2 linked regions of the Neodiprion lecontei genome follow. The protein of the gene in region 1 interacts with the protein of each later gene in a biochemical or structural test. Links are inferred from orthologs where the notes say so. Each region holds a gene or a part of one and is shown in the gene's direction. Other genes may lie near its edges.

The links.
Region 2: the proteins of polycomb protein eed-B (region 1) and nuclear inhibitor of protein phosphatase 1 form a complex in vitro, tested with the Homo sapiens proteins (2 studies listed by BioGRID). The link is inferred for Neodiprion lecontei from reciprocal best matches to the Homo sapiens genes EED and PPP1R8.

What each region holds. Positions count from the first base shown.
Region 1 is NC_060263.1:6,599,392-6,610,082, forward strand, and holds polycomb protein eed-B, read left to right. Parts: upstream 1-1,887; 5' UTR 1,888-2,140; intron 2,141-2,253; 5' UTR 2,254-2,442; intron 2,443-2,574; 5' UTR 2,575-2,739; intron 2,740-2,847; 5' UTR 2,848-2,988; coding exon 2,989-3,001; intron 3,002-3,228; coding exon 3,229-4,541; 3' UTR 4,542-4,902; downstream 4,903-10,691. Other genes in the region: sedoheptulokinase, read right to left, coding at 5,756-5,939, 6,079-6,274, 6,352-6,489, 6,618-6,755, 6,841-7,109, 7,239-7,489, 7,591-7,953. UniProt on the Homo sapiens protein: Polycomb group (PcG) protein. Component of the PRC2/EED-EZH2 complex, which methylates 'Lys-9' and 'Lys-27' of histone H3, leading to transcriptional repression of the affected target gene.
Region 2 is NC_060261.1:17,294,915-17,306,661, forward strand, and holds nuclear inhibitor of protein phosphatase 1, read left to right. Parts: upstream 1-3,813; 5' UTR 3,814-4,028; coding exon 4,029-4,057; intron 4,058-4,194; exon of another isoform or gene 4,195-4,207; coding exon 4,208-4,268; intron 4,269-4,555; coding exon 4,556-4,709; intron 4,710-5,385; coding exon 5,386-5,606; intron 5,607-5,879; coding exon 5,880-6,083; intron 6,084-6,581; coding exon 6,582-6,956; 3' UTR 6,957-7,945; downstream 7,946-11,747. Other genes in the region: N(4)-(Beta-N-acetylglucosaminyl)-L-asparaginase, read right to left, coding at 1,243-1,399, 1,946-2,081; serine/threonine-protein kinase grp, read right to left, coding at 8,007-8,237, 8,405-8,536, 8,637-8,884, 9,737-9,937, 10,090-10,410, 11,072-11,295. UniProt on the Homo sapiens protein: Inhibitor subunit of the major nuclear protein phosphatase-1 (PP-1). It has RNA-binding activity but does not cleave RNA and may target PP-1 to RNA-associated substrates. May also be involved in pre-mRNA splicing.

The sequences.
Region 1 (10,691 bases):
GTTTTATACTATGTACATTATCGTGAACGTAGTTAACACTGCAGCATCCATCGCATCCATAGATGACGACATGCAAATATTTATGTTTTGTGAACCCAGCGACTAGATATACTAGTTTCCAGGAAATAAAATTTCCTTGAAAGATGATTGTACGATGAATCCAACGAAAGAGGGGTAAACCAGCCTCATTAGGCAGGGGGAAATCCGTATACGCAGTCGAATCGACGAATCAAGGCCGTTCAGTTAGTAGTTACTGGCGAAATAAACTAACGAGATACGCACTCGTCCGCAGACGGAGAGTATAGCTTGGCACATTCCTACCCGGACATAGCCAACCGTAAGACAACGAAGAGGAATATAGCCTGAAGGAAGAACTCCGAAGATGTCGAATTTACTTGTTACGTTACCCTTGCAACTCTTCTGTCACCTAGTTGGTACCACGAATTGTATTTACGAAAACTTCACCTCAGGTATGAAATCGCAATGAAGAAATTTATCAACAAAGCGCTACCCTCTCTCGTTTAAACATGCTTCAATTTTTCGTTAACTCAGTTCCAGGTCAAAATTCTGTCAGTGTATCAGAACCCAAGACGTTGCCCATAGGATATGTAGCCTTCCCGGATGTCGGAATGGCTTACAAGTGGACTGACGTCGCCGCACCGACATGGAACGAAGCTAGAAAACGTTGTATTCTGGAGGGTGCTAACCTGGCAAGTCCCGATTCTTTCAAAAAGATTCGTTACGCATACTCTGTGACGAACGGCAAAGTTCAGCCATACTTGGGAATTCACAAAACTTACGACGGCGTCGAATGGACGAGTGACAGAACTGGTAAATAATAATCTTTATTGAACATTATTTTATTCCCACCATCTCTGCAAGTATTTTCAAGACTGCAAGGAAAATTATGGAATAATGGTGAACGAAAAGCCACTGAGATTATAATTGGTATATTGAATATAGCTATCATAATAATAACTAAGATATTACATACTTTGAAATGGCAATTATTCCAGATATACTTCATTAATATTTTTTCACCAGGTCTACCCCTCACCTCATTACCATGGGCGCCAAGTGCACACCCTCAAGACGTAGAGAAAAAATTTACATATCTAAACGTTGAAGGACTTCGAGAAGATGCCGGCGATACAACAGGGACCTTCATCTGCGAAATTATTCTCGTGTAGAACAGTTCCTTCTTCTAAAATCATGTAATACTTTTCAGTGCCTATTATCAAACAAAAGTTGTAAAATATCACTTTTTGAAACAATGAAATTTTTATTTGTATAGTGTCGTGTATACAGTAGAACGTCGATTACTCAATTAATTGGAACTGGGTACCGTTTGGATAATCGTAAATTCGGATAACCAATCTGCACTATTCCTTGGGGGCAAGAAAAAACACTCGTTCAAAATTATAGAAATGTCTACACGATAGGTACCGTTCTGTATATTTTCAAGGTGCAGAGGAAGAGTGCAATATTCTCTTTTAGTATGTACAATCAAAATTTCTTTGTGTTCAGACTGGTCGTATTTTTTGTTTTCGACAAATTTATAACATACATATAAGGTATACGAAACTGTTGACAGAAGGCCAGAGAGAGATCTATTGTTGAAATTTATTACTGAGATACGCCGATTTCGCGGAAATTCATTCCCCGGGTTCCGAAGATAAGACTGATCGCATTTCGTTTGAATGCCTCGCTTGGCGATTCCATAAAATTCATTCCGTGTGGTGGAGATTGGTGTTATCGAACTAACCAACCACGTCCAAAGGTAAGGACTGACATGACTCCACCCGAGTTTCGTAGATGTCGCCAAAGGCTGTGACTTGTGAGCCTAACATAGTGTTTACCGTTATGCACTGCCATAGCATCACGTAGGCTTATGTTTATTGCTAATAGCTAAAGCAGTCGGTAGAGAAACAGAGCGAACCCGATCTCTGAAGGCGCAAAAGTGACGAAGTGCTCGTGATAGATTATAACTTATAGGTTAGATTTGTAATATGCAGGACGGATACGATACAACGGTCTATTTCATGGCAGTTGCCGGTGGCAAACGTCGGATGTTTGGTTTCTAATGGCGCAGGTCTTGCGTTATGGATTACGAAAAAATTTCGCGGTCATTTCGTTTTTGGTAAGGCTTTACGCTTTCGTTACTGGTTCTTTTTCTCACTTAAGAAAATTTTTTTAAATACTGACGCACCACAATCATCCCTAACGGAACAACGCACAACTTCAATCTCGCAGATCGTTTCCACCGCCGAATATTGCGAGAAAATATCTCAAGGATTGCTGAATAGTGCATCAGGGAAAAAACAACAAATTCTCATACATCGGTGCGAGTCTGTCGCCGAAGTTATTGCCACTCATAAAAATCTTCACGTCGATTTTATCGTATTTGCAATCGACTCTCGGCTAACGCTATCTTTGAAGGAGGTGGGTATTTAACGACAAAAATTATTTTTTCGTCGTGTATTAATGGTTTTAAGATAGAGAAAAAAACCTGCATCTGTTTTTCGTCATAATCGTAATTACCTATACTTTTTTTTTATTCTCCTATTCATTCAGGTTGAGAAGAATATTCTGCTAGTTGATCAGAGTTTTATATTGTTGAGTAGCACCTGTTTAGTAAATGGTAACAACATATCGTCAAATGCTATGGGTGTGACGCAAGATCAGATTTTGGAAGTTTGCGACAAGTACAATCTTCGGCTTCTCAATTCAAATATTAATGTGAGTTTACGCATTTCAAAATGTCTAAATACTACGCAATGTCGATTTGTCAAATAAAATTAGAAATATTTTAAGAAGGTGAAAAACTGAATACAAATTTTCATTTAGGTACCGGAGGACTGTCTCTATTTAGGTGATCAAATTATCAATTTATCTTGCACAGTTCTCGGTCAGAGAAGCGGATTGCCATTGTTAAACATCCGTGATCAACATACAGCAATGTACATTGTCGATGATTCTGTGGCATAAATGTGCAGTTCAAGTGAGTCACATGTACAAAGTGAAATAATTATTCAAACAAGCTACAAAAAATAATTCCATGAAATTTATCACCACAAAAAACTTCCCAAGACTGGATAAATAATATTTGAATACCATTTTATGTTTCTTACTAAATACTAAAACAGCAAATTGAAACTTTTTGAACTCCTCAATGAGTATCTACCAATTAGTCCGATGTTTGTAATTATTGGATATGTGTACTTTCAGATTATCAACAGACGGAAGATATAATGAAGAAAGCTGGTGCGAAACCTCAGTGCCAGACTTATACTTCGAGTCAAGAAGACACTGACAATGATAGTGACGAAACCGAGTGTAGTATTGGCAGCAATTCGACTGCAGGTACACATCGAAGCGATACTCCGACTCGCAGTGCTCGTTATAAGAAGAAGGGAAGACGGCGAAGTAAAACGGCAAAGAACAAGTCTCTGAATGACAAACCAATGTATAAATACTGTTGTAGTGTCAAGGAAGACCACGGGCAGCCTTTGTTTGGCGCTCAGTTCAATCACCATCTCAAAGAAGGTGAACCAATGATATTTGCATCAGTAGGAAGTAACAGAGTCAGCATTTACGAATGCCCCGAGGGAAACAATATCAGGCTTCGACAATGTTACGCTGATCCTGACAGTGAAGAAAATTTCTACACATGTGTATGGACATACGATGATTCAGGAAAACCATTATTAGCCGTTGCAGGCTCTCGAGGAGTAATTAGAGTAATTAGTACTGTCACTATGACGTGCATTAAGCATTACATTGGTCACGGTCACGCAATTAATGAGCTGAAAATTCATCCGAAGGACCCAAATATCCTTCTTTCAGCTTCGAAGGATCACGCTCTACGTTTATGGAATATTAAGACTGATGTTTGCATAGCAATATTTGGAGGTGTCGAAGGTCACAGGGACGAAGTCTTGAGCGCGGACTTTGATATGATGGGACAACGGATAATATCTTGCGGAATGGATCACGCATTGAAACTTTGGTCCCTCGATAAAGGGGAAATGCTGGATGCTATCAAGCAGTCGTATTACTGCAATCCGACCCGCAACGGGAGACCTTTTGACTCGATTCTGCAACATTTTCCCGACTTTACAACAAGAGATGTGCATCGCAATTATGTGGACTGCGTTAAATGGTACGGAGATTTCATACTTAGTAAATCTTGCGAAAATTGTATCGTATGCTGGAAACCTGGACGTTTAGAAGATACCCAACTTCGTAACGGCGAAACAAGCGCCACTGTACTGCATCGCTTTGAATTCAAGGAATGCGATATATGGTTTATACGATTCTCCATGGATTTCTGGCAAAGGACAATAGCACTTGGTAACCAAGCTGGTCGTACCTATGTGTGGGATCTGGAGGTTGAAGAACCAGGCCAAGCTCGATGTTGCACATTGGAACATCCTCGGTGCACCGCGCCAATACGGCAAACTAGCCTGAGCAGAGATGGTTCTGTACTTTTGTGCGTGTGCGATGATGCCACGATATGGAGATGGAACAGGGATCACTAACCCTCCTAAGGAATATGATATTCCTGAATTATGAAAAAATATATAAATGTATTAAAAATAGACGTTATTCAGTGTGAAATTACAATGTTTTTCACTATGTAAATAACGGTATTAGGTGTTACCGTTTTGTTTTTTTTTTGTTCTGTATATAGGTAATACAATAATTGACTCGCTGTGTCATGTTTACTAATACGATACAGTTTTGGATATTAAATTTTAGAATTTTTCATTCCGCCGTTTTGAATTTTGTATAGTCTGTGTAACTTAAGCTTGTGACACACAGCAATATTATAGTGTATCACTCAAAAATGTTTACATGTAAAGTAAAGTGCCTTTGATATACATTTCTGAACGTTCAAAACTGTTGGGATTTATTATACCTACTTTAATGATTATTTTAAATTTTGTTTCTTACTTTACGGCATGCATTTAACTTAGAAAATAAGTTGGAAAAAATCGTGCTGTAATTTCCATTGGCTGATGTAAAATTATACCTTATTCGCTTCATGCAAAGTTAACACAGATCCACAGCTAATCTTTTCTTATATCTGTATAGTGAAATGGTGACACGATGTTTTATTTAACAATGACAGATGACGCTGACTAGATGCATGTTTACATGGGATTGAAATTCGTATTGTTGCAAAACGATACATTTATAAAGAAAACTGTAATTTTACAAGTTCAGTGTTGTTTGAAAATAAAACATAATCATATTTTCGAGACTTAGCTCCAGCTGCAAAATCATTCGAAAACTGTGAAACCATGATTTTTGTATCAACATTTTATGACACCAGTGCTACTATCTTTCTATTCTTAGTCTACTATCTACTATTTTAAATGCGTTGCATGCAGCGAATATGAATAAAGCCTATGCCGCATATTTCGGAGACTCAACTCTTGCAAGGTCATTCTACAACTGTGAAACCATGATTTTTGCATCAATATTGTATGACATGCACGCTACTACCGTCACAATCATATTTCCTACTAGTATTTTAAAGGTATTGCATGCAAATGGAAATGAAACTCTAAATTCAGTAAACAGTAGCATTACAATTTTTTTATCGGCAATAATGATCTGAAATTTATTATACATACATATAAAATATTCGAAGACTACGATTGTTAGTATTTTTATTTGTGACGCAAAAGGTCATACTACATTTACTGACACTTTGCCAGAGCTTACAGTCTATGGCTCCACTAATTTTCTAGTTATGATTAATTACTGCAAGAGCTGATCCAAGAGCTGCATCTCCCGATTGTCCTATTTCCAATGGTAACTGATACCATCGCAGCACTTCCTTCTGCAAGACTAAATTCCGAACCAAACCTGATCCATTACCAACAATTTGCTGTATTCCAGCCTTTTGCAATACTTCCTGCGGCATCATACTAGAGAAATGAGAAAAAATGAACCTTCAAAAATCAAACTAAAGCCCAGACACAAGAAAATTTCAATCAAGTTCATCGACGAACATTCAATACTGATTGAAGATAACTTTTTAATGAGTTTGTTCAAGTAGTTACTCACTTATGAAGATTTTTTATTACCCCAGAACAAAGAGCACGGAATATCTGGCCAAGTTGTAAGGTGTCTAGTGTTATTTGAGACACGCTAGCCGTATGTTCGGGAGCATGGCGTTCACCGAGCAAAGTAGGCACAATTTCCAAATCAGAAATAGCCGTATCCTCTTGCCCTAAAGCTATTAACTTTTCCCAAACCTTAGCTGAATGACAAATTGAACGTAAATTAATATATTTTTGATGCATACTCCACATTCCTTACTTTATTAAATATACCTACATTGAGGTATTGAGAAGCCTAAATCCATGCTCCATTGTTGTAAAGCTCTGACAAACGTAGCTAAAGAATTGCCTCCATTCAAAGATGCAGCTACTGCCAAGTACCTCCCCTCGAAATATGGAAAATGTTGAATTTTTGCTACAAATTTATACAGTTGTATTGACTTGTTGAAATCCCAAACTTAAGAAAGATATCGACCTATCCAAATGTTTGATCCATCGAGGATTAGATATACTTTCCTAGCCTTTTGCATTCGCAGTAATTACCTGTTTCACCTGACTGTTTCGGACTGAAAAACGGATCAACATAGGCAAGTTGCGCTGAAGTGGAAATGTTCAATACCGCATCTGTCGGATCTTTTAATAAGGCGTAAACAGAGCACTGCAGGTCACCTAAAGCAACACCTACGAAAAGATTCGATAAATTACTTCAAATTTCAAGCGAGTAAAGTCCTTATTAACGAACAATAAGTCAGTGACGATACTGTACCTACTGGTGTACCAGCAGGAATTCCGAACCACGTTTGCTCCAGACAGCCAGCCGCTTGTCCGGGCTGCAAAATTTTACTTGGTAAAATGTGTGTAGGAAATTCATGTTGCGACAAGACGTCTATTTCCCAACGTGACTCTGTTGTTAAGAAATATCCCCAGCTCGCTGCATTTTGTGTACTGATCGTTACTTCGCTATGACCGCAAAGCAGAGCCACCAGCAAATCTTGAACCGTACCACATCTATTGTATTTGCTCAGCTTTTCATGTCTACAAGACGGGAGAAATTTTTTTTTTTTCTTACTGCGGTCAAATAAACTCGCTGTTAAATAAATTTAAACGACATTCTTGTTGATACATATACTTAAAGATTTATGTAGACAATGAATACATACTAACTTGTATTTAGCAAACCAGAATATAGTAGCACAACCATAACCAGAGTGGGTAGTTAGGTGACTTTTTGATGCTGGCAAAGATGCCAGAAATTTTGGATCGCAGCGTGAATCTTGCCAAGTGTAAAGTGGCGATACTTTTTCTCGAGAAATTTCCAACTTAAATACCCCATCGTGTTCCTTATCATCTTCCTCCGACGAATATTTCCAAAAAGTCACACCGTGCATTTGTCCACAAATTCCGATATTAACCACCTATGCAATAGGTTTTAAGTTAATATTTCTTCTGTTGTTTACTATGTATTAGCATCAACATAACTGTTCTTATCTATTCCTAAACATTGGTTCAGCAATACCTGGCGAAGCAAATCTTTTGGAATGCGTGATACACAGCTGTGGACTGCGGATAGGATTTTTGGTACATCCTGCTTGTTTCCTTCCACACCCAGATCACTAGGCACATTAGCCTGCGTATCCTTGGACTGCTTGCTAACAATCTGTTTAGTCTCAGTTGACACGACGACTACTTTAACCGAAGTTGTACCGAGATCTATGCCTAATGCTAGTTTTTGTGAATGTGCCATGATCGTCAGCTGCGAATATACCAAAGGACTCCTCAAAGAACTACTTGTAAAGTGAAGAGAAGAGAAGCGTTCCAAAGTAGCAGTAAGAGTAAACTGTTTATAACCAGATTGCGTAAACTTTTTCTCAAAGCACATAAACCTTTCAGTCAGAGCTGGAAGAATTCAGAATAAGATAAATATGCGAGTTGAAAAACATACTGTGCTAAAAACTCAGCTTCTAATCGTCTACTCATTTTGAAATTGATCCAGTGATTTTACTAAATACTAGCCGAACACGTGTAAAATGTATTTATTATTACATATGCATTAATTTCAAACCGCCACAAATACACTAGAAGTGGAAATAAACGAATCTCAAGTATTTTTAGATCGTAAGAAAAGGCTACAACCATCTTGGCGGCAGAATCTTTCATGCCCAGCATTAGCAAATGGTGAACTTGAAGTTATAGCAAGATGTACTTACAAACAATAAGATTTGAAGCGATGTAAATAATGTACTAATTGCAAAACGTTATGAAAATACTCCAAGTAGAACGAACGGGGTTCAAACAAGGTAAGATTTTGTTATGACATTATCTTCATCGAAGTACAGTATCGTAAAGTGTGGAATAATAAACTGCTTTTTTTTCTGCATTTAAGTCTTACTTTCTTTTAGCCGCCAGGGTATATCGAACCTGGTACGAGGTGACAAGTGTATTAAATTGAGTCAACTCTTCAATGATTGCAGGAGGACTGTGGGTAACTGGCTCAGGCACTATATTAATTGTTGATCACAGCTGTTGTTTTACGTGAACCAAAGGGTTGTCTAACAAGCAAGCGTGTACACAATGCCTGATAACCATGTTGACTGCGAGATAAAATAGAACATCCATCAATACTCTAAAATTAAAAACCAGACAGGGTTTAAAGGTGAGAAAGAGAGAAAAAAGAAGAAATCGAATAAATATTTTTTGTGGTATTTTCACGAATTATTTTTATTTAATACATCTTAATACAGGAATGCAAATAATTGTACAAATTTGTGTAAGGCAAAGTGTAGCTAAATACCTGTGTGATTTAACTAGTTTTTTAGCATAATTATCGCAGGTACTCAATCAAAGCATGCATTCTTCACCTTTTACATAAGCAAAGAAACACTTGGGCCTATGTTCAGAAACCCTTTTTCTAAGATTAGGACTAGTTTCAATCATTCTCTCATCCTCTTTTTCCTTAACCGCAAGTTTTACCCTGGAAATCAGGTTTAACAACACTATTGTAGCGATGTGTTTTCTTTTGAAACGGTACAAATCAGTTTCAAATCCCCCCAAATTGAACCATACTTTTCAATATATCGCACGGAAGAAAAAAACCTTAGTCGCTACCAATAGTGTAATATCTCTTGCTTACTGTTTAATTTTATTTGTATTTTTCTCCTACCAAACACATGATTAACAAGCCAATGCATTGACCATGACGACCAATGAGGCATGACGCAAATCAAGCGGTAATGAAAAAAGCGCCCTGATTTTAGTCCAGCCAACTATTCATAAATGAGATTAGTGACAGAATGAGCTACTTTTATCAGCCAAACTAATTGATGCAAATCAAAATTTCGTGCTTGTAGAAGAAAATTGGATTGATTTTCTGTTATCGATAAGGGACTGTAAAGAGAAGGGGACTAAATCGACTAACACCATTTCCCAGATTAGTTAAAAAAAACTTCTCTCCTGACAAATCGAGTGAAATTTATTTCTAGTATTTGAAAACACCATAAAATTAAAAAATCCTAAGGTTTAAATAGAACATATTTCATATTCTTATGATGAGTGAAATAAATTTAATTTACATCTATGAGTTGGAAGTTAATTTATTCTACATACGGAATTCAGCTCAATGAGCAACTGTTACCCAGTTGAAATTTTACATCGCATCTTTTTTTTGCAACTCAGATAATCGAACATTTGTTGTAATATATATTATTCAGCTTGAACACAACTACAAATATGATATTGTAAGGTTGCATGGATTTCGAAAGTTTCAGAATTCCATTTTTTTTTTTTGCTCTTATCTCAAAACTTTTTTTTTCGACTTCTTCCCTTCTTCTGTACACTCCTTTAGTTAAAATGTAAATATTGATATGTTGGTAGTCATTGCAGAGGTAAATTTCGTTCTTGACAAGAACATTTGAACACGAATTTTATAGAAATTACTAGTGTAATCAAATTTGTGTATTAGCTGCACAGTCTCCACATTTGTTAATGAGCTCGTGGCAATGTCATGAAATTGTTTTACATGTATAAAGTAGACAATGTTATGTGTATGGGAATTTTTTTATTTGAACTGAGATAAACCAAACAAGCAATCCATGTTACGTTATCACGACAAAATTTGTGACAAAATCTTTGATATCCACATCAAAGCAAAACTTTAGAGAACACCAATAACTGTATTGAATTTGTACCTCGGTTTCACTTTTGATAAAATTTCGATAGAACCATTCAAAGATAATAAATCAAACGCTGGTAGGATGTTCAGATGAAGATAAGTTATACGTACATATATACAACACCAGTTAATTGTCAAAGTTATGTAAGTAATAGTCAATGTAATGATGAAAATATGCAATTAAAATTGAAGGAACTCGATTGTTTGCAAAGAATATAGATTGAGGATCATTTGGCAATCTAGTTTTTGTTTTTAAATTAATTTTTGGTATAATTTGAATTCAGACATTGTTTATGTCAAACTGATGTGTTTTATGTTATGAGAGCCAATGAGGGAAATTATGTAAGACAGCAAACGGGTAAAATAAATTAATACATACTATTGCTCTAACTTGGACGATTCGTGTGCACCGTAGATTAACCGAGCATAATGCGGATGTGACACGATAA
Region 2 (11,747 bases), on another chromosome or scaffold:
CAACGTATTCTAATTGTTTATCAGAGATTGAGCTGACTATTAGCGTTCTTGCTTTTAAATCCATTTCTATCCAATCTTCTTCTTTATTTTTAAACTTATTGGTGATATTACTAACTGCTGAATCTTTACACCTTTTGTATTCCAGTAATAACATTATTCTGATTTTCCAACTTGAATAATTTGCCCCGTCAAAAATGGGTATCATAATATCTTCCATCTTAACTTGCTTAGCCATTTTCGATTCACTTATACTTATATTTTCGTATATTAAATTTTCAGAATAACAACTTTCTTAGCTTTTTCCAAATACACTTGACGAATTTGATTTCTTGTTTGATTTTCTAACTTAATATCTTTGACTTTTAATTCGTGTTCTCGATTCACTATCTGTTTTATCCACGAAAACATGTGTTTTACTTCAAAATGAATTTGATCTATACTCGCGCTTCATCACTTATTTCACAGTTCTTTCCATTTTTAGTTAAATTAACACTTTATCTTCTTGGTTGCGTGTATATTCTTTTACTTTAAATTTAAACCACAAACCACACTCTGCTACCATGTGGATATAAAAGAGGGAGTGTGGTTTTATGCAATTAATATTAAAGTAGTTTATTAAAGTATAATAACTATTTACATAATCATTCGAATATGAGGTAATTTTCATTAGCATCCTGACTATCGGAAATATGCTCTTCAGTTTCCTCTCCATATGCTATACCTTATATTTCGAAGAATATTTTCATAAATGACACCGTATTTATGTAAGTAACTCAAGAAACCTTGATTGATAAACACTTGAAAATAGTCGAAAAAATTGAACAAATAAAATTTACTTACTATTGCAAAACACTAACACCGTGGAACTCCTGAGTCTTTCAGGGCACACAATCAATTTGCACTCTCTACTAGTTAACAAAAAACTGCCGGACTTGGTCATCTCTTGGCTTTCGATTCCCTACTACCAATAACTTTTTTTAGAGAGTGGGGCCATCAGCCCTTCTTGCATTTTGGAGATATTTAATGATAAAATTTGGGTTATACCTCAAAAGACCCGGGATTACTGTGGAGGATTAACTAGTGTTATTCTATAACTATAAATAACAATAGTTATATATAACTATTGTTATTTTTTTTAATATTTTCTCTCTTTTTCGAATTTTTGATTCAGACTTTCATTCATTCTAAAATCAGTGAATAATATGCTAATGATCAATATTTATACCAAAATGTCATAATCACCCATCCATTATCATTGCGTCCAACGTTGTCTCGCCCATCTCGTCGGGACTCCCGCCAAATCCAACTGTCGTCCGGCATTGAAGCTGCTCGCACAAACTGCATGCTATTTCTATAGCATCTAGCGAGCTACGTTTTTTTGTGTACAGAATATTCCATGCTGAAAATAAAGTAAGATTATGGTTATTTCATGGATATATTTCCCCTAATAAGAGTTTAAGATAAGACACTGGGAAAGTCCTGTTTATTGTTTGTTAAGATGCATTGCATTATATTGATACTGCATTATAGGATAAATATAACTTGAAAGTATTTTATCATTGCAGTATAATCGTTGCAGCCCAAAAATCAACAAAGCAAATCTTTGTTAGAGATGTTTATTAAACTTTTGAGTCATATGGGATTTTTCAAAAAAAGGGTAGAAACTAACTTAAAACCGATTAATTACAATAATGTGAAGATAAATGATTAGAATGCCAATTATTAATATTCACCAACAACACAAACATATTTACATTTGTCAAGATAAACATAAAACGTAAAATTTCAAGTCGAATTTCACAGTGCTGTTACACTATTTGGAGAAAAGTTTTATTCTGAAACAATTAGAAGCGAATAATGAATAAAAAAGCACAAAATTCAAGTATAAGTAAGTCTTAATGTAACGTAAAATTCAAGTAAGAAATTTCTTCATCGTTGGTTGTACCTTTGTCTGTGGCGTTCCAGTAATCCCATGTTGTTACAACGAGTGGAGTGGTTTTAGTAAATGTTTGAATCGAATTCGCCGGTAAGCAACCCGTAGCTACTATTAGTGTTGTAATAAACAAATTCAAAATTCTCATTATGAAAATGTCTCGATGCGATCGTATTTCAAAAAGGAATTGCTCGAATCGTGTGTGACATTCAAGGAATTCACATCACCTCTGCCGTTACTGTTGTTTCAGCACGACAAACATGCCGTATGGATAAGGATGAACAGGGATTAAACATGATAAACATACGATTGCGATTCAATTGTCAGTTCTGATTGGCTTATTTGACACGATTTACAGATCTTCATTACGAATGTAGTTGTGTACTCTGTTTTAAAATACATGCTGTTTGTCCAATGATAACTGTGGCTCAATCAAGTTGAATAACCATAGAGATAATAACAAATGGAGTGGGCAAGATGCAGGGGTTAGCATAGTACAAAGGTTGTGCGAATAAAAAGGGAAAGCAAATTGAAGTATACCTCTATCTATCCTTGTTGCATATACATTTACACATGCGCAGAAGAGAATCAGAATGATAGACTATTCAAAACTGCTTACGTTAATGTTGCAATTTTTCATTTGTAACTTTATTCAATTTTCTAAAAAGGTAGGTAGGGGTACTACCTTGATTTTTTGTCTTTGTTTTTATCACTAACTGGCTGTATCATTCACTTACCCACTCTATTTGTTGTTATCTCTATTTATATAGATAATTCTGGCTCGTTGACTAAAGTCGTTGACTGAAAACTGTTATTTTCCATAAACGCCCGCCTCAATCTCCGGTGAACCCTCCGAGAAATATGCAGCATAGAAAAATTAATGTGTACATAATCACCTAAACAGCACATTAACTTTTATTATCATCACACTTGTTTCATTAGAATATTACATAATGCGATACAATATTTATTCCGTGTGAATTGTATTTATAGAATATTAAATAACTTGATACGATACATATACCGTGTATAATTCTATTTTGGTGTGGACAGATTTCATCATTGACTGACTACTCTTACCGATTGAATTATTTTTGCATTGAAGCAGAATTTTCTGCATTTTATACTATAGAATCGGTAGTTAAAGATACTTTTTTGAGTAATATATTTGGTAATTTTTACTAATTTTATCCAGTCCTACTGGAGCGCATCGGCATCTTTTTGTTTCGCTACAATTTCGAATTCACCGCTCGTCCACATAACCTACAAGTCAGATGCATCATTGTTTTTCCAGTTTTAACGAAAACTATGAAGGAGCAAATTGCGAGGTTTGCGGGGAAATTATTAGATTATTCGCACCTCAATTCGTCTAAGAGATATATCAAAGTGAATTCGGCCATACTTCGCCTTGAGAAAACCCTCTTTTCATTTGTTTCTGATTCATTCGCAAACAATGCAGAAGCAATTTATCAAAATAATACAGTAACAATGAGTAATTAAGATAATATATAGGAGTAATTAAGGAGCAGCTCAAAGCTCATCCCTTAGAGCATGTACAGTATAAGGTTTATCCTGTTTCGGTGGCATAAAGAACGTCTGGGCACCAATATTTGTTTGAATATGGCGCCACTTTACTGGAAATGTTACCCACTCACGGTACCTGCAACGTTTTTTAGGATTTTCTCGAAAACCGCATGGGAGCAAATAATAAAGAATAGAGAGCAATTAAAAGCAATTGGGGAGAAATTTTTTGGCATAAAATTTTTTAACACATTCGAAGGTCGCAGGCCAACTCTATATAGTACTAGAGTTCAGTGGTCGCTGCAGCTTGTAAGGACTCTACCCTTACCTACCGAGTATTTCGCCCTTTGAAGCTAGCTACTGATTAGTTGTTTTCTATTAATTCGTGTTCTTGCCGAGCTATTTTTAATGTCGACTTAAAAATCTGTAATCGACTCAGCCCTTGTTTGTTTCCCGAAATATTTTTGTCAGAAATTCGCTTTATCTCCTTTGAAATTAAGAATGGTTACTAAATTCGTAGGAAGACTGAGGTTATAGATGTTTTATTAAAAGTACGCAACCTAAATGACAGATAATGGCGAATCATTACGAAGTACCTAGCTGGTATGTTATTACGAGAAATTATTACATTATAGGAATTCATACAATAGTATCCGAATTACAAATGATTTGAGCTAAAATATTTTTCATAACAAGCATCTTCCGACCCAAAACACCAGAATGACAAACATTGTAAACAGGTTATGTTTTCAGGGCTGGCAAACCTCCGGTTGGTTTGCATTTGGATGTATTAAAGGATGATAAATTAATCCAGGTAATATCCTTATTCGCCTACTAGAAGCATTTAGTGTTTCAGTAATTTACTTCTCAAGAAGTGTCGATTCTCACGTTTTTAAAGAAACCGGTAAACTCAAGAACTTTTTTGTTTATAAAAGCTTTCTTTGATTATTATACAAATATTAGTTCTTTTCGCAGCAGGATTTCTCTACTCTTGTGGTTTTAGCCACCATATTCACTATATCACTGACGAATAACGCCATTTGAGACTCTTAGAGCCACTGAGAAGTATATCACTCTATAAATGAATTAAACTCTTCCCAGAAATTGATGGTGGATGAAAAGAAGTGCTATTTATTCGGCCGCAACCAGCAAATGAACGACTTCTGCATTGATCACGCCTCGTGTTCCCGAGTTCATGCAGCATTAGTTTACCACAAGCATTTGAACAGAGCGTTTCTAGTAGATCTTGGTAGCAGTGAGTATCACATATGGTGTTAATTATGTCATGTATTGATAATTTCAGGAGTTCCATTGTCCAAATCAATAGTTGTTTTAAATTTTATCATGAGATAGTCGTGCATGGTGAATGTATTAACCTATTATATTCGTAAACTACAAAGGTTTCTTTAAAAAAGCGAAAATTGAAAATCCTGGAATTTCAGATAAAATCTTCAATATCAATGCTTCATTTAAAATAACTTCGAAACAGTTAAAAATCTAACAGGTTCAAATTCGCTCTATGATGGCCTTTCAGAAGATTATTGTTTTTTAGTAGTCAATTCAATATTGTAATTTTTTGATCACAATTAATATCTGCGCAATTTTGTAAAGCTAAATGTTTAGCGATGCCAACATGATTTAAAAAAAAGTATTTCTATGAGTTTGTGGAAATCCCAGAAAAATGTCCTAGTGAAATGAGCCATTCTAGAGTGAAAACGAACCTACTACACTTTTAATTAATTTGCAGCAATTTGAAACAAAGCATCGATATCCAAGCTTTCGTTTATAATTGTAGCATTTTCTGTTTGCATATCTAAAGAAATTACGACTGACTATCTCGTAATAAAATGAATGAAAAGTATATATTTTTGGTCAACCAACCACCTTCAGCTTTTACTTCATTAATTTGCCTTAACAATTTTCAATTGCAGCACATGGGACTTACATTGGAAATATGCGGCTAGATCCCAACAAACCGACTCAGTTACCAATCGACAGTACTTTTCATTTTGGCGCATCCACAAGATACTACATTATTCGAGAGAGACCGCAATCTGGGGCAAGACCGATAATTGAAGAACTAGAAAAATCTTCCGAAGATAATGACGCCGGTGGCTTACTTGGGCTTCCGGAGACTGAAACTGAGCTTGATGTAAGATATGCCAAATAATAATCTTTAGTGAATAGTGAACATGAAGTTTGTATTACTTCTACGTTTTTTTAAGGTTATTGAAAAATTTTTTTGCTGTATAACTAACGCATTTTGAACTTTGGTTATATCATAATCAATTATCGTTCTACGTATTTATAGAATTATTTCAGAATCTTGACCGATACGGTATATAAAGATATGGTTCGTGAAATGCAGTTGAACTTTTGAATGTCATAACTAAGCATGCTTCTAATTCAAAATTTACTCCTACAGAATTTGACGGAATTTAATACAGCCCATAACAGACGCATCTCGATGTTGGGAATAACGGATGATGACGTTCATAAAGCGACGAGAAAGAGAAAAAAGAAGGGCATCACATTCAACGACGACGAGGAAGTTATTAATCCTGAAGATGTCGATCCATCTGTTGGTAGATTTCGGAATCTTGTACAAACGACTGTTGTTCCCAGTAAAGTAAGTCAATCTCCTTGGTATCACTTCCTAAGTTCCCAACGATCAATCAAAGATAAAAGGAGAAGAGAGACTTCCAAATCTCTCTTCACGTTAATATAAGCGTAAACACAGAGTATGGACTGTGCATATGGTGCTGAAATTGCGTTGTGCAAGTGCGAGGGAGATGGAGGTAGTTGCGGCTAATATCCATCTCTTTCTAACTAGGAATGTAGTGCTTGCACTGAATACCTTGCGCTTCAACAAAAAAGTTCCTAAAAAAATTCAGACTTTTTCTTGGCGAGTTGTGTTCTCGATTTTGTAATGCTTACCTACTATAAATGGAACTAATAGAATAAAATATTTGATAGTAGTAATTAGGGCTGCGCATTTAATCAGACTTCGATTAATGGAATCGTTCACCCTTTCAATTATTCTTTTTGTCGATTGACCAATCAAACAGCCTTTTCAGTTCATTGTCGTCGAGATTAATTAGTATTTGTTAATATTTTCTTCTTTTAGCGAATGCGCATGGAGGGTGGCCTTATATCGTTATCGGAGGAAAATCATCACAATATGATGAAACATCTTCAGCCAAGTTCTGTTATGCCACAACTCTACCATGATTTACCTCCAGAACAGTTCTCTAACGCACATTCGTCGATGTCTAGTAACCCGTTTTCTACAGCACTGACATCACTGACTTCTCGCCTTGGTATAGCTTTACCAAACCCGGCTCCCGAGGTAGAAATGGCGCCGCACCAAATGCAAACAGAGGTGCCCCACATTCCAGATATATCAGGATCTTCGGAGCCACATTCATTAGAGCCTAAGAAAAAAAAGTACGCAAAGGAAGCTTGGCCCGGGAAAAAACCGATGCCTACTCTTTTGGTATAATTATAGACTTAACGGAATCCAGCTATCTCAGATCAGCGGTTATGAACGATCAATTCTCCTGTATCCGAAAGACCTTCTCAAAAGGATAAAGCAACTAATTTGGAATTAAATTTTTCTAGAACATGCACACGACTAAGTAATTCGCAATAATAAATCCGATTTTAAAATTCTTAATGTAGAATTGCGAACTTTATAAATCTGGATACCTTTAAAGTACTGAAACTAATTGTCCAAATGAATTCTGCTGTCACCAATCTGGAATAGCTATCTTAAGAATACAGACTAAATTCGTGAACTATTTACCTGATGAGGTTTAATATATTTGCGTGGTATCGTCCAAGTTTTCAACAAAAATTTCCTATTCAAATATAAACCATGATTGTATCGTCGTCGGTGAAGTGAAATATGTAAATAAAGTAATAAGAGATAAATAATTGATCTGTCGACAATTTTAAGTTCCACTCGTCTTTAAACGGATTTAATAGAGTAATCAAATATAGCGTAATATTTCGTACTGAAATCTCCTTTGGACCTTTCGGAGGTAAACAATTGTTGAAATAATACGAATTTTCCTATTTCAGGTAAATATATTTTAAAAATTAATGAGAAGTATACATTTTGTGATATAATAGACATGTGATGTAATTTGCGTTTATTCAGAAATTCAGTGTCAAGGAGCAAAGTATTGAATTCATAATAATATATCGAAGTAACAAGTGAAAGGTAAATTTGCAATCAGCGTCAGTCATCATTGTTCATCAGTATATTCATCAAAATGTTCAATACAAATTTTTCATATCTATTGTTAAGTGTATAAAGACAGTAAGAGGAACGATTGTCTCGTCTTTTATTCAATAAACCTCGTCAGAAATCAACGTTAATCCATTGCTATTCCATACAGGTGTTGTGTAGATTTTCAATGTTACAAACGCAAGTTGAATTCTAGCTCCAAATAATCAAGAGTATAATATTAAAGATCAAATTTTAAATTCAGTAGAAAAATAGAATGTATATTATTGAATATTGTTAATATAAAATTACTTTGTCAATCTAGCATGATTGTGACACAATGTCGTGATTCGCAATAGCAATGGGCCACGAAACCGTACTTTTGGAAACAAAGTCTCCAAGATCAGTTTTGATCTTAACAAATCTTCGTTTGAACTCGATACCGCATCCTTTGGACAATCTAAAGTCTACGAGTATTTTCCCATCCATATCAACGATATTTGCTTTGAAAACAAGAGGCATTTTCCGTCTATCAACAGTTGCAACTGTGATCTGAAAGAAGATATTAGCAGAATTTCAATTATTTTGATGAAAAAAATTTCTTGTGATGCGATTTGTTAGAATTTGTAGGTAATCTATGATCAGTGTAACTTTTAACTTTTATCTCAAACTTGACTCAAGTTACCAAAAGGTTTATTTAGAGTAGTGCAATAACTTACAACACCAACTTCGCTGACTCGACACGTGTATCCCTCATTTTCCAAAACAGATAACAGCTTCTTTGCAAAGTTGTCACCGTCCATTTTTACGAAAAATCTAGTCATACGGCGTGCTAATTTTTGAAAGGTGTTCTGTCAGATAATAAAAAATTTCAATTAATTCAAGGATAGTTTTCTGAAATTATAGTTTTTCTATAACTTTAAAAATGAAACATTTTGTCGACTTTCTCACCTGACTTGCGCTCTGCGTATGTTGAGTGGTTTGTAATGGCGTGCATAGCAATAAATCCTCTACGTCTGTAGGCTGGGAAAAAGAAAATCCTGGCCTTTGTTCAAAGTTCATACAGTCCATCTTGTTTATTTCAATACCGGGCATCTCAGGTTGCGACAAACAGAATCTAGACACATCGTTGCCATTCGCTGAACACCGTCGCTTTGGTACATTTCCATCCACCACGTCACTTCCCACCAATTTCCCATCTGCAATCCCACAATCGATATGTAAATTCTTTTGAATTGTGTCATGCTCAAATTATTATCAATTTATTAACAATCAAAATGATGGTAATTTAATCTCTGTATCGATGATTTAGCGAATTAGTCAGAGTGTTTAGCTCTGGATTTGCAAGGAGGACAATTAGACGATCTTAGCTGTCGTCCTGACTTCGGTATTCTAGCTTTATGAAGTAGAAAAGTCATACAGCTAGATAACCAAAGACAGGACAACAGAAATTCGATTTTCTTCTTCTGAACTGTGCAGATCAACGTGATGGCGGATAATCCAAAGAATTGGTTGAGTAAGCCGATGTTCTTTGCTTTGGTAATCTAGCTTTATGATCTTTAATTGAAATCATACAGCTGTATCACCAAAGAAAAGGCAATAGCTATTTGAAATCTTCCTTCATGGTATCGCAACTCACTGAAAAAACAAACGATGATTCATGCCAGCTAAAAATATAACAGTCAGAGTCATTGCACAGGTGTCTTCGATCAGTTAATAATGTTTAAAAATATTAATAAGTCTAAATTAAATAAATAGTTGATTCCAGACATTGTGAGTTACTTACTTTGTGCACAACAGTCAACAATTAACAATGAGTAGCTCTATAGGCCGAAGTATAAAGTGTTCACATAGTTGGGTACCGAGTTGCTTTGAGTATAGACTATTTACTCAGAGTCACTCAGTACCTGACTGAGGAAACACCGGATTAGTTTTCCTGCTGCTTTCTTCAAATCCAGTCAATGTAAAGTCATACAAGTAATATTGTATTCAATTCACTTAAAAATAAACTTTTACAACTCGAACAACTAATGAATTACAGTCTTTCTCACCTTCGTGGTATTTAGCAAGCATCCAATGATGTTCCTTGATTTGTTTCAAAGTAAACCTTGTCGACGGTAAATGATTGAGAACTTTTTTGGCTAGCGAAAGTGAAGTATTGTCCAGTTTACTCCAAGGCGTGAGTGTAAGTTTTCCCTCCTTCCACGCTATATATTCAGGACACTCTGCCAAGGGCTGATCCCATGGCAGTTCTATATTTCATATACGGACCATTTAGAAACTAAGGAGTGTAAGTTAAGCATTAGAAATATGAATGATAAGAGAAAACCGGTGAGGGTATGGTTTAAAAAATTTTTTTCCTCTCCAAACTATCAAGTGCATTTTTCATAACTGGTAAATTTACCTCCGGCTAACATGGCGACAAGGATAATTCCGCAAGACCAGATATCCGCGGGTTCTGCATGATACGGCCGATCTAGTACTTCAGGAGCCATGTACGGCAAAGTTCCGCATCTCTTGTCCAAGCAGCGTTCTCTGCCATTCAATCTATACACCGTTGCCATACCAAAATCGGTTACTTTCAAATTGTCATTATCATCGAGAAGCAAGTTCTCTGGTTTCAGGTCTCTATGCGCCACACCTCTGCTGTGCAGGTATTCAACTGCAGATATTAATTGTTTGAAGTACTTCTGAGCTTCCCATATAGGCATTCCTATGTCCGGTTCTATATCAACAAAATTACAAATAGACAAAGAAAGTTTATGTGAAAATAACGAGACTGAAACATGAAGCTGAAGTTAGTAACATTATTGTAATGTCTAACGTTTCGGAAAATCGTTATTTCACAATTGCAGGAATGTTTGAAATCTAGAAAATCACAATAAGACAACACGTATTCATATTTTGAAAACTTAACTAATTTACAGTCACTATAAAATCGCGAAAGAATGATGTTTTGTCCCAATGTTTTGCATTAAAGTTACCAAGTTCAGCTTCATACTTTTCTATATCCATTGTCACAGAGTTCAAGAAAAACTTTTTGCATTAGTTTTTTCGAATATATGTTTCTTTTGTATGTTTCATGACTAGAATTTAAAATGGTGAATCGCTGTGCTGTGTTGAGTGTTGAAAAATTCTATTCCTTGATTTCAAAACTTCATTGCACTAATTTTTTACTTGCACGAATATGTTTCCCAAAGTCTAATGATATTACCCTAGATTTCTTTACAATTTTCAAGTTCTTTCCTGAAATCATCAACTTTACAAAAACTTACTTACAATCATCAACTTTATGAAAACAAAATGAAGTTCTCATTTTACAGTAAATTAGCTATAAAAAGCAGTTTGAAGAGTTTTGCATGTAAGTAACAGATATAATGTATTACCGATGCGGTCAAATAGTTCTCCTCCAGCTGCGTATTCTAAGAATATATATTCCATTGCAGGCTCGCTACGTTGTCCAAAGTAATGAATAATATGCGGATTTGATAACATTCGATGGATGGTAGTTTCCTTGCGAACATTCTGCCGAGCATCTGGGTGCTTTTCTAAGTCGATCATTTTCATCGCTACAGCTTCTCCCGACGCTCTGTTGATCACCAGTTTTACCCTACAAAGATCGGAAAGTAAAAACTTTGAACGTGAAATATTTTCCAAACGACATTACGAGAAACCATCGCAATACCGTACAAAACAACTTTAATAATCTGCAGAATCGTTTAGTGAAAAAAGATCAAGTTACGTGGTATTTTAAACACCCAATGAACTGAAATGGGTTCTTGAATCTCGTTCCACACATTTTGATGCAAATATAATTGAACAACTTTTGATTCTACATTGTGAATGAGTTTTCTTTCATTTTCAAGACAAAAGATGTTTTCAAGACGACATAGTTCATTGTATGAGTTTCTTTCTCACTGGTGTCGTTTCGCTCTTAGTTATTAACTGGGTTGAATTTCATTACCATATAAAATTATCTGTAAAGAAAGTAACATCATCGCGCGGTTGAAATTTTGTGCTTTTTCTAGAATAAAATAAGCGCGATGCTGTGTTCATTGGCTA